Cricetulus griseus: one gene and its partners. The protein of the gene in region 3 interacts with the protein of the main gene of each other region in a biochemical or structural test. Links are inferred from orthologs where the notes say so. Each region holds a gene or a part of one and is shown on either strand. Other genes may lie near its edges.

The links.
Region 1: the proteins of Shank1 (region 3) and Wwtr1 interact in a test that uses a peptide from one of them, tested with the Homo sapiens proteins (2 studies listed by IntAct, with this or other methods). The link is inferred for Cricetulus griseus from reciprocal best matches to the Homo sapiens genes SHANK1 and WWTR1.
Region 2: the proteins of Shank1 (region 3) and Cacna1d interact in a biophysical measurement, tested with the Homo sapiens proteins (2 studies listed by IntAct, with this or other methods). The link is inferred for Cricetulus griseus from reciprocal best matches to the Homo sapiens genes SHANK1 and CACNA1D.

What each region holds. Positions count from the first base shown.
Region 1 is NW_023276806.1:93,981,106-93,984,752, reverse strand, and holds part of Wwtr1 (WW domain-containing transcription regulator protein 1), read right to left. Parts: intron 3,455-3,647; coding exon 3,336-3,454; intron 2,046-3,335; coding exon 1,933-2,045; intron 1-1,932. UniProt on the Homo sapiens protein: Transcriptional coactivator which acts as a downstream regulatory target in the Hippo signaling pathway that plays a pivotal role in organ size control and tumor suppression by restricting proliferation and promoting apoptosis.
Region 2 is NW_023276807.1:189,385,397-189,389,043, reverse strand, and holds part of Cacna1d (voltage-dependent L-type calcium channel subunit alpha-1D), read right to left. Parts: intron 599-3,647; coding exon 493-598; intron 1-492. UniProt on the Homo sapiens protein: Voltage-sensitive calcium channels (VSCC) mediate the entry of calcium ions into excitable cells and are also involved in a variety of calcium-dependent processes, including muscle contraction, hormone or neurotransmitter release, gene expression, cell motility, cell division and cell death.
Region 3 is NC_048599.1:153,179,608-153,184,021, reverse strand, and holds the start of Shank1 (SH3 and multiple ankyrin repeat domains protein 1), read right to left. Parts: upstream 2,846-4,414; coding exon 2,591-2,845; intron 2,464-2,590; coding exon 2,260-2,463; intron 1,843-2,259; coding exon 1,771-1,842; intron 1-1,770. UniProt on the Homo sapiens protein: Seems to be an adapter protein in the postsynaptic density (PSD) of excitatory synapses that interconnects receptors of the postsynaptic membrane including NMDA-type and metabotropic glutamate receptors via complexes with GKAP/PSD-95 and Homer, respectively, and the actin-based cytoskeleton.

The DNA of each region.
Region 1 (3,647 bases), on a different chromosome or scaffold from region 3:
CACATCCAAGGTTGTGTCATCTATCTGCTAAAGTTATCACTACAGGTGCTGGAGAGATTGCTCGGCAGTTAAGATCTCTTTCTGACGTTCTGAGTTCAATTCCCAGCACCCACAAAGCAGCCCACAAACACCTGTAACTCCAATTCCAGAAAATCGGATGCCCTCTGGCCTCCAAATACCTGCACACATGTGGTACATACAAACTCACACGGGAACACACATGCACAAAATTTAACAGTTCAAAATCTCATTATGATCTCCTAATTCTGAGAATATGTATTTTAGCCAAACAAAATCTCCTTTTAAAAGAATTCTTCCTATTCTTTCTCAGCAGAAATGAAAGCATGAGTTGACAAGTCAATCTTCTTCATCAAGGTTAACAATCTCAAAGTATTTCTTTTGACTCTACAGTGTCATTGTGGTCTTTTTAAATCTTTGTCGTTTTTTAGCTACTAAGTTCATCACTTAAGGAAAAAAAAGGGGGGGTAATTCTTCCAGAGGTATGATTTTCATGGAACGTTCTGGAAGGATGAGTGACTGCCCAGCCTTTGCTTATTATGTTACTATTCCTTTGTTCAATCTTCAGCTGGATGTGTTTGTTGCAAAGGGGGAGGGTTCTCAGCCGACTTGCTACTGGGCAAGTGGTCAATGTGATTGGCAGATCCAACAATCTTTTTTAGTCACCATTGAGCTCCACCTGCCCTCAGTTAATTACTAAGCATTACTAAATATTATACAACTCTTTAGCAGTTTATGCCCATTTCTTACAAACATCTCACAGAGGTGGCAATGAACTCAATGAGTTGACACTCATTTGACAAGATTAAAAGGAACCACAGTGTTTATCAAATCCATTTCAATAGCCTTCTTCAATGGAGAGGCAGAAGTGGGGACATTATTCTCGTTTCACTGGTGAGAAGCTGAGGCCCACAGAGCTTCCACAGAGAACCACAGAATGAGAAACAAAGGTTCAACTCAGGCTGAATTTTGCCTGTGTTCTTTTCAAGATACCATTTAATTGTGTACTATGACTTCAAAAGCACTCCCCATTTGCCCACTGGACATTATTTTAGAAACCTATAAGAGCGAATGAATCTTTTTAATGTCTCCTGGGGTGCCCACCCCTCTCGAATTATTTAATTTTGCTTTTTACCCTTACTGGATTCCCAGAGTTTAAAAAATGAAAGTAAACAGCATCAGAAGGAACCACCTCATGAGGCTATTTCAAGGAAGCAAAATAAATCCCACCACACACACACACACACACACACACACACACACACACACACACACACACACACTCGTGTGGAGTTACAGGCAGTTATGAGCTGCTATGTGGGTGCTGAGATTTGAACTCTGCTCCTCTGCTCCTACTGAGCCATCTCTCCAGCTCTGCAGGTCTCAAATGTGAACTTAGCAGATGACAATGCCATGTTCCAATCCCAGGAGTTTGGACATGTCTACTCTATAGGATGCACAGGCTGGGACTACAAAAGTCAACCTGGTTGTCTTCTTGTCAATTGTTGAAGGAGGTGTTATGTTAGAAATTAGAGCTGACAATTAGAGTCCTCTGGGTTGCCAGCTAAACCTACTGTTAGTCCTTCCCCAAACCAGAAAGTAACATGAAAAGGTCAACACAATCAGAGAACCAACAATAGTATAAATCCCAGTGGAAAGCATGGACTATTCATTACAACTAAAAGGAGGTACAACACTAAATTGGATGGGGGTTGGGTCTTACAAGCCCACACCCTTATGAAGTCATATTTGCATGAGCCCTGAAAAGTAGTAGTGCCTGTGCATTGAGTGGGCTTTTAGCTTTCGTTTTATGTTCAGGGTTTGTGATTCCCATTGGACTTTAGGACTGCAATAACCAAGGGGACAATCTGAAAATGAAAACACACTGCAGATAGTTGCAGGCTGGGAGCCCACCTGTGTCCATCTCGTCCATGTTGCTGAGGAAGTCTTCTGGAGTTGTGGGGACACTGTAGCACCCTAAGCCCAGACCACTGTCTGTGCTCTGCTCCCTTGAATGATAAGGCCCTCTACGGAGAAATAAACAAACAAATAAATAAATAAATAAATAAATAAACGTGAAGACCTTAACATGAGTCCACTAAATAAAGATCACAGTAAAGATGCAGCCACAGAACTTAGTCAATGAAAGGGAGAAAATTCTACTGGGCCCATTAATTTTCAGATGTATAACCTGATCTTAAGGAGTGAAGGAATAAAATAACCATTTAACCCTATTCTAAGTACAGATTATGGTACATGATCCTACTTAAGTGAAATTTAAAAACCAGAAAAAAATTAGTGCTGAATAATGATCATAGATATACTCATTAATGGTAAAAGAAGTATTATGTAGCCAGTCATGGTGGGCCATGCCTACAATCCCAGCACACAAGAGGCTAGGGAAAAGGGATCCAGAAAAATAGCAAAGTAAACTGTGATGGCCACACACTACTTTCTGAAGAGTGGCTGTGCCTGAGGAAAGAATGAAGGGAAGAAAGAAACTTAGTGGTGTAGAGATGGGCTCAAACAGTGCTTGAAATATAACAAGCCTGGATGGTACCTCAGTTTTCTTTATATTTTTCTATTCTTTAAAATAAACCACTTCAAAAAATCCATTCATTCATTATTTTGGCTACTTGCTTTTTCACCTCTATCTTCATTTGCATTTGCATGCCAGGAGCCTTGGTAAGAGCAGAAACACAATGCCCGCTCCCATGAGGTATACAATTAAGGTTGACTTTCTATCCTTCAGATACTTCTGGCTAAGTCAACCACTTTTCTTTCTCTTTTAAAGCCAACATCTCTGTTTTAATTAATTCTTAATTAATCAATAATGTAAAACTCACACCAACATGCAAGAAGAAAGTAGTTTTTACGTACCTCCCACCTGGCTCCCTAGAAACAGTTTTCATCATCAGAGCAGAAAATTAACACTAGTAACAAAACTCTAAACCTTATTCACTTTTCACCATAAATTCTTCTGACTTTTCTTGTTCTATTTGCTATGGCATGCTTTTAACCTCACCCTTACTTACTCCCAAGAATGTCAAGATGCTTACAAGTGATTACCAAATAGCACTGTCCTGTTGAAAGTTCATCCTCATGTGCAAATCACTGAGGGACATACTCAATGTCATGTGACTAGGTTTTGAAATTGAAATTTTTTTAAAAGCTTCCTTTTTCTCTCTTCTGTCAGCTCTCCCCAACTCTCCCCATCCCTCAAGAACCCTGCCTTTTCTCCATGTAAACAAACACCCCAATACAGCCTAAACCATAGGCCAGAAAGCAACAGTCAATGGTCCCCAGTGTGAACTTACCCATTGAGGAATGGATCTGAACTATTATTGGTGATGGACCTCATATCCGTGGTCATGGCAGGTGGGTTGACAGAGGCCATGGTCTCTTCCATGGGGAGCTGTCGGCAGAGGGCCGCTTCCTATACAGGAGTCATGGGGAAAGGGAATCACTCAGATGCCACAAAGGGTTGCTCACCAAACATAAAACACTTTGTACCTATTCCAGTAGATCAAAGTCATCAGAAGATTAGCATTCTTTCTCCACAGTCTTCAACACATACCACTCTCTCCACTCCCAGCTAACAGAACCCAAGGGAAAACTGATCCTCTGGA
Region 2 (3,647 bases), on a different chromosome or scaffold from region 3:
TAGAAACTCCACTGTCATGCTGATTTATTTCCCAAATTATATTCTATTTAATCAGATTTGTTGTATTCTACATCTATAAAAATTAGTAAGTTCACATACAAAATCTATGACAATCCTTATTTACCAGAAAAATTAACCATAGTATCCACCATTCAAAAATAACACTGGATTTCTTAAGAACTAATATTATGTACCAAAAGCCTGACTAGAGAGAAAAGTTATTTTAAAACCTTTCTACAAACTTCTTCCATAAAAGTTCTATCTCTATTTATGTCAGATTCATGACTTTGAACACTTTCATTCAGCATAAATCTAAGAATTCAGGTCAAATCTAAAAACCAGTAACAACAACATAACCCCACTGTTACTAAGTTTTGGGAAATACAGCATACATAATTGTAAACTACACCACGAACAAAGCTGGCTGTAAGCTTAGGTACCAGGTAGAGGGTAACCGTACACCACCACAAGTGGGAATTCTAAGTCACTTACCAAGTTATGATTTGTTGAATTAGAATCATCTTCAGGGAATGGGATGTAAATAGCTAAGGCCACACAATTGGCAAAAATAGCCAATAATATAAATATGTCAAATGGTCTGAAAGTTTTTGTTAAGGAATATATGCATTATGCAAACATCAGACATCTCTCTTTATCACATCCCCAATCAGGCACACAGGAATTGTTTTTAAAATGAAAGTCACCCACCCATCACCCACCACCCATCCCCTTACCCACGTATATATGGTTCTGTGACTACTGGGTTTGCAGCAGAAGTAACTTTCTCTGCTCCCCTCATAGTAAGTTTTCTATCCTGTGACCTCCTCTCAGCCTTTTCTCCTACTGCAAGATCTACTCCTTCTTTTGATGCACACTGTGTACTAAAACCTGGAAGTAAGGAGCATCTAGTTAGGTCACTGTGTAGAGTATGTCTCTGCTTTCTGTGGTTTAGAAAGTGACAAGGAAGGACCTTACTAAACCAGCTGTCATAGACACAGAAAGGTAACCATTATGACAGTGACCTCTCTCCCACAGATCCTTGCCACCATGATAGAGCCATTTTCTCAGAGGCTATTCCTGGCTAGTCATTCTAAACTCCTGATGGGGACCAGTCCAGGCAAAGCCCCTGGGACTAGCTCTATCTTCTCTGTGATCCTGTGTAACACATCCCGGCACCTCAGATGCTATGATAATCAGGCTGCCAGCTCCCTGCTCTGCCTTCTCTACCAGAGTAATCAATAACTATAACTGTTTCAGATTAGAGCTGGACTCCACTCACTTCATAATGTGCTGTTTCTGTCTTCAATTTATAAACAAATTAAATTTAAAAGCCACCAGAAATCAGCACCAGACACTTTCAAAACAGGCTCTAAACAAGTTCAAATCTCGGAGGGCTGTCTGGAAGAGTCATTTTGAGAGGAGCCTTCAACAGACACTTGCTTAAGCATCTGTTAGTAAGAGGTATTGTCAAAATTGGCCACACAAAGTTTGATATCTGCCCAAATCAGCAGATTATTTGAGAAATACCTAATGTGCAATTTCCTGGGCTTGAATTCCAACTAGGCCCATGTATAACACTCACCCACAAGGCAAACCCCTCTGGGTGCTAAAGATTTAGGGGTAGGAACAGTCTCTTGTTGATGGCCTTCTGGGGACCCCCAAGGTGATGCAAGAAACAAATACCTCTTGCCTGTCAGGAGGTAGATAACTCCCTGTTCTATAAAGCCTCACCCCTTTGAAGAGCTCGGATAAGTCACTGGAGTAAGGACAGGAATAGCATTATCCTCTTACTAACTTTGATGGGTTTATTTTTAAGCCAGTTAGCTTTAATCATATTGATTTCTCAACTCCGTTATAAAATCTTTTACCCAGGGATCTGACTTTAGGAAGACTTCAGAATTCTCTTTTCATTTTTTTTCTCTTTGCAGGTCCCCTCTGACACTTTAAGTCAACAGCCCTGAAGTCATTTCCTATAAAGACACACATAGTACTTCCCCTCCCCCACACCATCTTTCTTCCTCTCCTATTTCTCAAAATACCTAAAATGATAAACCTGAAAATATGAGAACTACTAACACTGCTCAGGAAGGCTAAATGTAAGACTCTGAGGTGTTTCTTTCTTGGCAGAGCTCTAGTTCCAGTCAACAGACAGTAGAGGATATCTTGCCACTACAAGAAACTGGCGGGTCTGAGCCCTTAGCTTCTTAAAGGGGAACATCTAGCCCCACCTCCACCCCCTTACCAGCCTAGAACAACCAACTGGATTCTCTCTGGGCTAACTGGACCTGACTAGACTGCTAAAGAAGGATGTCTATAACCTGCTCCCTAAAATGCAAGGGGCCATGTACTATCTAACTGACACAGAAACTGTCCCATTATATACAGACATTCTCCACTGGCAGCAGTGTCTCCTAAGCCCTGCACACATACTTGCATCTAGCAACTCAAGAAAGGGAGCTAGTGGTGAGATCCAGGAATTCATTCTGACATCTAAACTGCTATGTGCAAACTCCTGTGCACAAAGGGAAACAGCACCTCATCCCACAGAAAATGAATGACTCCACTCAGAGGTCTCTGCTCACTCAAATCACCTCACACCAACCTCAGAAGGAGGATGTGTTTCCAGCAAGTGTATGCTGCCTCTCCATTCCAGTGAGACCACCTCAGCACATTCTAACTTAGCAGCCCCCTCTTGGCCTATACAAGAGTTCTGTCCTCAGACTAGAGAATTTAAAGAGAAAATGCACACCCACAGCCCTAAGTATGTGAGAGACGCCATAACTCACTCTAGAGGAGAGACATCTGTGCTAAAAAGAAAAGCACGTGAAAACCTTCATATCCTGTCCTGGCATTCAGCTGCTCTCTCTAAAACCTTTCTAGACAGTTGCTACATTTTAACTCCTGTCCATGAGCAGACAAAATAAATGTGCTAAGATAGAGACCATGCAGACAGCTGCCTCAGTGGGAACCTAGATTTTTTAGAGGCCTTCAGCCCCACTTTCTAGCTGGCACCCAGCAATCTTACAACATGGCTTCTCCCTCCCCTCAGCCTAATGAGGAAAGCTTCATGCACACACCCCTGCCTGCTGCCAGGAAATGCTCAGAGGACCTGTCGGCCACAAACACCCTTCTGGGAAAAGGGAATGCTTTGTTTTACCCAGCCCAAAGAAGCATGTGAGTAATTAGAAAGCATGTGCTCAAGAGAAGACTTCAGCTAACCTTTGTAGGTGGTGAGGGAGCCTGGCCCCCAGACCTGGGGAGGGGGACAAGCAGGTAGAAGCAATATTATTTTCCAAGATCTGGGGCATGGCAACCATCCTGGGGGCAATCAAAGTTCAGTTTTTAAAAATACAGAGACACCCAGAAATGTAACTTCAGTCCAGTCTAAGTATACAGTTGGATATATATACATACACATGCACAGCACCTGCCAGTTCCTCCCCTGAGAGAGCTGACTGTCACTCACAGGGCTAGAAGGAAGAGGCACTCACCAGTGCCCCTTGCACAGCTTCTGTCACTCGTGGCTATATGGCTTTGTTTTTTGTTTGTTTGTTTGTTTGTTTGTTTGTTTTGCTGGGGGGGTATCAAAAGGAAATTCCAGGAAGTCATAGCATTGATCATCCAAAGATAATAAATAATAATAATAT
Region 3 (4,414 bases):
GCTTACTCGTAAAGGTACTGGCAGCCAAGCCTGCCAACCTGAATTTGATCTCCAAAACATGCATGAGAGGAGAAAACTAAGCTCTAGAAATTATCCTCTGACCTCCACGTGTGAGCAATAACATGAACATGCCATCTCCACCCCACCACCAGTCACACACAGTAATAAATAAATAATGCAATTTTAAAGAGATAACACAGGAGCTAGAGAAATGCCTTAGCTATTCAGAGCACTTGCTGCTCTTACAAAGGACCCCAGTTCAGTTCCCAGGACCAACCAATGGCAGGTAATTCCAGTTCCAAGGGGATCTGGTGTTTCTAACTTCCTTGGGTACCTGCATTCTCATGTGCATACCCACACACAGACATACACATACACAATTAAAAATAAAATAAATCTTTAAAAAAAGATACAGTGGGATTTTTGCACGGTTTTTGCAGTGTGACTCAATTCACACCTGTCACATGTACAAAAGAGTTGCACATGGCCACTGTGGATGGCACAGGTAGCGAGGGGAAAGGCGTGGAGGGGAGGGAATAAGTGGGAGGATGGTGTGGTGCAGAGGAGCTTTGGGAGGCGGGGGAGAGGGGAATTCTTTCCATTGAATGTCAAGACATTGTTTCCCTCTGGCCACATCAGCCTCCTAACTTCCTCACAGCTCCTTGGGGACCAGGGCAGACACAGGGGAGATATCAGCCAAGGTCTGGAGGGAAAGAACCCAACAGAATAAATGTGTCTGGCAAGGCAAGGCAAGGCAAGGCAAGGCAAGGCAAGGCAAGGCAAGGCAAGGCAAGGCAAGGCAAGGGAGAGTCTGTGCTTGATGGAGACACAGGCTATAGGCCTGGGGCACTGTGGTGTCTATGAAATACTCCCTAGGCAGGAGATGGACTGAGGTAGGGTAAAAGAAGGGCCCTAAGTGCTTCTGAGCAGAAAGGCAGAATTAAAAGAATGGGGTGAGCCGGGTGCTGGTGGCGCACACCTTTAATCCCAGCACTCGGGAGGCAGAGGCAGGCGGATCTCTGCAAGTTCGAGACCAGCCTGGTCTACAAGAGCTAGTTCCAGGACAGCCTCCAAAGCCACAGGGAAACCCTGTCTCAAAAAACAAAAACAAAAACAAACTAAAAAGAATGGGGTGAAGGGCTAGGAGTAAAGTGCTTGTCCCGCAAGCATGAGACCCTGAGTTTGTCTCCCTAGAACCCACATAAGAAAGCCAGGGGTGATGATGGTGTGCACTTGTAATGCCAGTACTGGGGAGGTGGAGACAGGCACATCCCTGGGGCTTCCTGGTCAGCTAGTCTGACCTACATGGTGAGCCTCGGACCAGTAAAAGACTGTCTTAAAAATAAGGTGGGGCCAGTGAGATAGCTCATCAGGTAAAGGTGCTTACCACCAGGCCTGGCCTGACCACCTGAGTTACATTCCCAGGACCCATATGGTGGAAAAAGAAAATTGACTCCCCCAAAATTGTTCTCTGGCCTCCACGTGTGCACCCATCCACTCACTCCACCGCCGCCACCACCACCTCCCTTACAAATGCACACAACAGGCACAGATGGCATTGGTCTGGGCAGGACAGGACACAGAGGGAAGTGGGGAGGGGTTACGATGGAGACAAACAGGCATCTCCAAACAGGATTCAATGTTAAATGGAGGACTTGGTGTAACTGAGGAGTTGGCAGAGGGGAGGGTTTATGGGCAAAGACTGGAAAAGAAGGCCATGGACAGAGTGCTCTGGGTGCAGCGTGGCACACCCAGGGGAGGTACTCTCACCTTTGTGTGCAATTTGGCCAGCTGTTTCTCATCCAGGTTGGTCTGTTTATAGACTCGGGTCTTGTAGCGGAACTGAGACCAGGAGTGGAGTATGAAGAGACACAGACTTGTAATTAGATTCTTTGTTGGGGAATAATGTCTGATACTCCTCCCTTCCTCCCAGATGAGTTCAGGGTTAGCATAGAAATGGCCCCTGTAGGGCGACTTTTCCAAGAGTACTAGATCATCAAGGTCTGTTGAATTATAACCCCTATCTTGCAAGTGTAACCCACACACGGAATGTTCTAGAATGACTACTGTAGCTGGGATTCCTGTCCAGCTGATGGCATAAGGAAGGGAAGGAATGCCATCTGAGGCAACTCAGCTGGTGATTTGGACTCAGGATCCCATGAGTTCTCGGGACATCTTGAAGAGCCCACTGGGGTTCTCTTGGCATCAGAGTGGACGTGTTCCAGGGCACGACTTCTGTTAAGTGTTCTGGAGCCTCACCTCCAGGTAGGGTACCCCTTTCTCAAAGGACTGGGGGTACTCTCTTAGCAGCCTCTCCTCTTCCAGGAAGTTGGCATCCCGGCCTGAGGTGGCCGGCTGGAACAGTCCGTAGTTAAGCACATCCTGTAAGCTCTCACTCAGGGCACAGAGGACTTGCTGTTTGGCTGTCCAGATGGTGGCATCAGGGTTGAAACGCAGGCATTTCTGGTGGGAGATAGGATGGCCAGGTTGGGTTAATTGTCTGAGGGTTGAGGGTAGGTTGAAAAAGGGGTAGAGCCGGGAGTAGGGGTGGGGAAATAGCCTTGGTCAATGTGGCTGTCAGCTGACTCACCGTCTGGTGCAAGTCAGGGATGCCAATCCTGAAAACCATCATGCTGAAGTGGGCGTCGTCTGGGACAGACATGGAGCGTCCCTGGAGGCCTCGGGCAGAGGCCAGGTTACCAGGTGCTCCACTGCCCCGGCCCCGGGTCCCCTGGGGGCCTCTCCCTGGCCCGTCTGGGGAGCTGTCGGATTCTGAGCCCCCCTCGGGACACTCGCTGGCACTGTGGCGTTCCTCGTCCTCGCTTGTCGCGGGGCTGTGGGTCATCGTGGGGCCACGGGGCGACGGGGGACAGCAGCATCACAGGCAGCTGGGCAAGGCAAAGGTGACCCTCAGCATAGTGCCACTCAGAAGCTACCAATACCATTCAGTGACAGGCACCGTGGCAGCCTGTTCCCTCTGCCTTGGGAGGCAAGGGAGAGTAGGCGTACCCTCAGACCTCTGCACAGACAAGCTCACACCACCTCTTCAGCCTTCTTGGTACCCTTCTCCTCCCTGTCCTTGGCCCCGCTTGCAGCCCCCACCCCCCTGCGCTCCACTTTGCTGCTGACCCAGTGTGTCCCAGAAATCACAGAATCACCACGGGAGCTACTGGCCCACTTTGTCAAGCCACAGAAAATGAAGCTAAAATTAGCTAAGGACAGACAGGTGGACCAATCCACCCCGGCATCCTGCCCTCCTGGCCAGAGCCTGGCCTCTTCACCCCAGGGAGGTTGAGAATGACTTTTATAGTAAAGGCGAGATGGAGGTGTGAGTTTTGAGCCTGGGGCAGCAGGAGGTGCCCGAGAGCTGGTGACTTCACTGAAGTGTGGCTGACCACATGTTTGGAGGGCTGCTGCTGGGGAATGAGCTGTCCCTGGAGGGGATCAAGGGACACAAATGTGGGTGGATGTGCAGAAAAGAGAAGTTCCCCTGAGCTGTGCCCAAGGGACCTATGAGAGGTTACTGGGGCATGTGAAGAGGATATGTGGGTGGATAAGGAGGCTGGCCCTGGCTGGACCGTCCAGGTGACAAGCTGTGGTGGCCTGGGTGGGTGTGGGCAGCTGTGGATGACCTGTGGGTGTGTTTCAGGACTGGCACAGCAGGGTGGGTGGGTTGGCACTGTTTGGCACTGGTGGCTCCACCGAGGAGAACTTGGATTGGGTGGGGAGGCTGGGGAGGAGGCTAAGAAGTAACTGCAGCAATATGGGGGACCAGGCGATGGGGAGGGTCGTCCCTCTCAAGGTGGCCTACTGAGGGGTGGCTCCTTTCCAAATGCGGTCCTTCTCTCTCCTCTTCACCACCCCCCACTCCCCACTCTAGAACCGGAAAGCAGAATGTCTGGTCTGGTCCCTCCCACCCCACACCAGGCCCGGCTCCTGCACCGTTGCCATGGAGATGGGAAGCAGTGGAGGGTACTGCTGACTTTGGGGGAGTGGGGATGGGCTGGGGGGAGGAGGGTTGGGGAAGGAAAACGAAATGTTTAAGGAAGAGAGTTCCAAGAACTGTAGGCGAGCAGGCGTCTAACTGCGGGCTGAGGACCCCTCCCCCTCGTGGGGACCGAGCTCCGAAGTGCCCCCTCCCCGCGTCAGGTATCTGGCCTGGTTGCCCCACCCGTCCGGCTCCGGAGGAGACTCCGGGCCTCCAGCTCAGTCCGCTGATTGCCCTACACCACCTCCCGACTGTCAGTGTGACCTCAGCCACTCCCCCTCAGCTGACCCTGGCTGACATCCCCTCTGCAGCCCCAGCTCTACAAGAACTGGGTGGCAGGTGGGATGAAAGGTCAGCAAGGGCCGGACCCCCATAGCGCGGGCTCCACTGCCCCAACACCCAGGACAGCTCGGCCCCTCCCCCTCC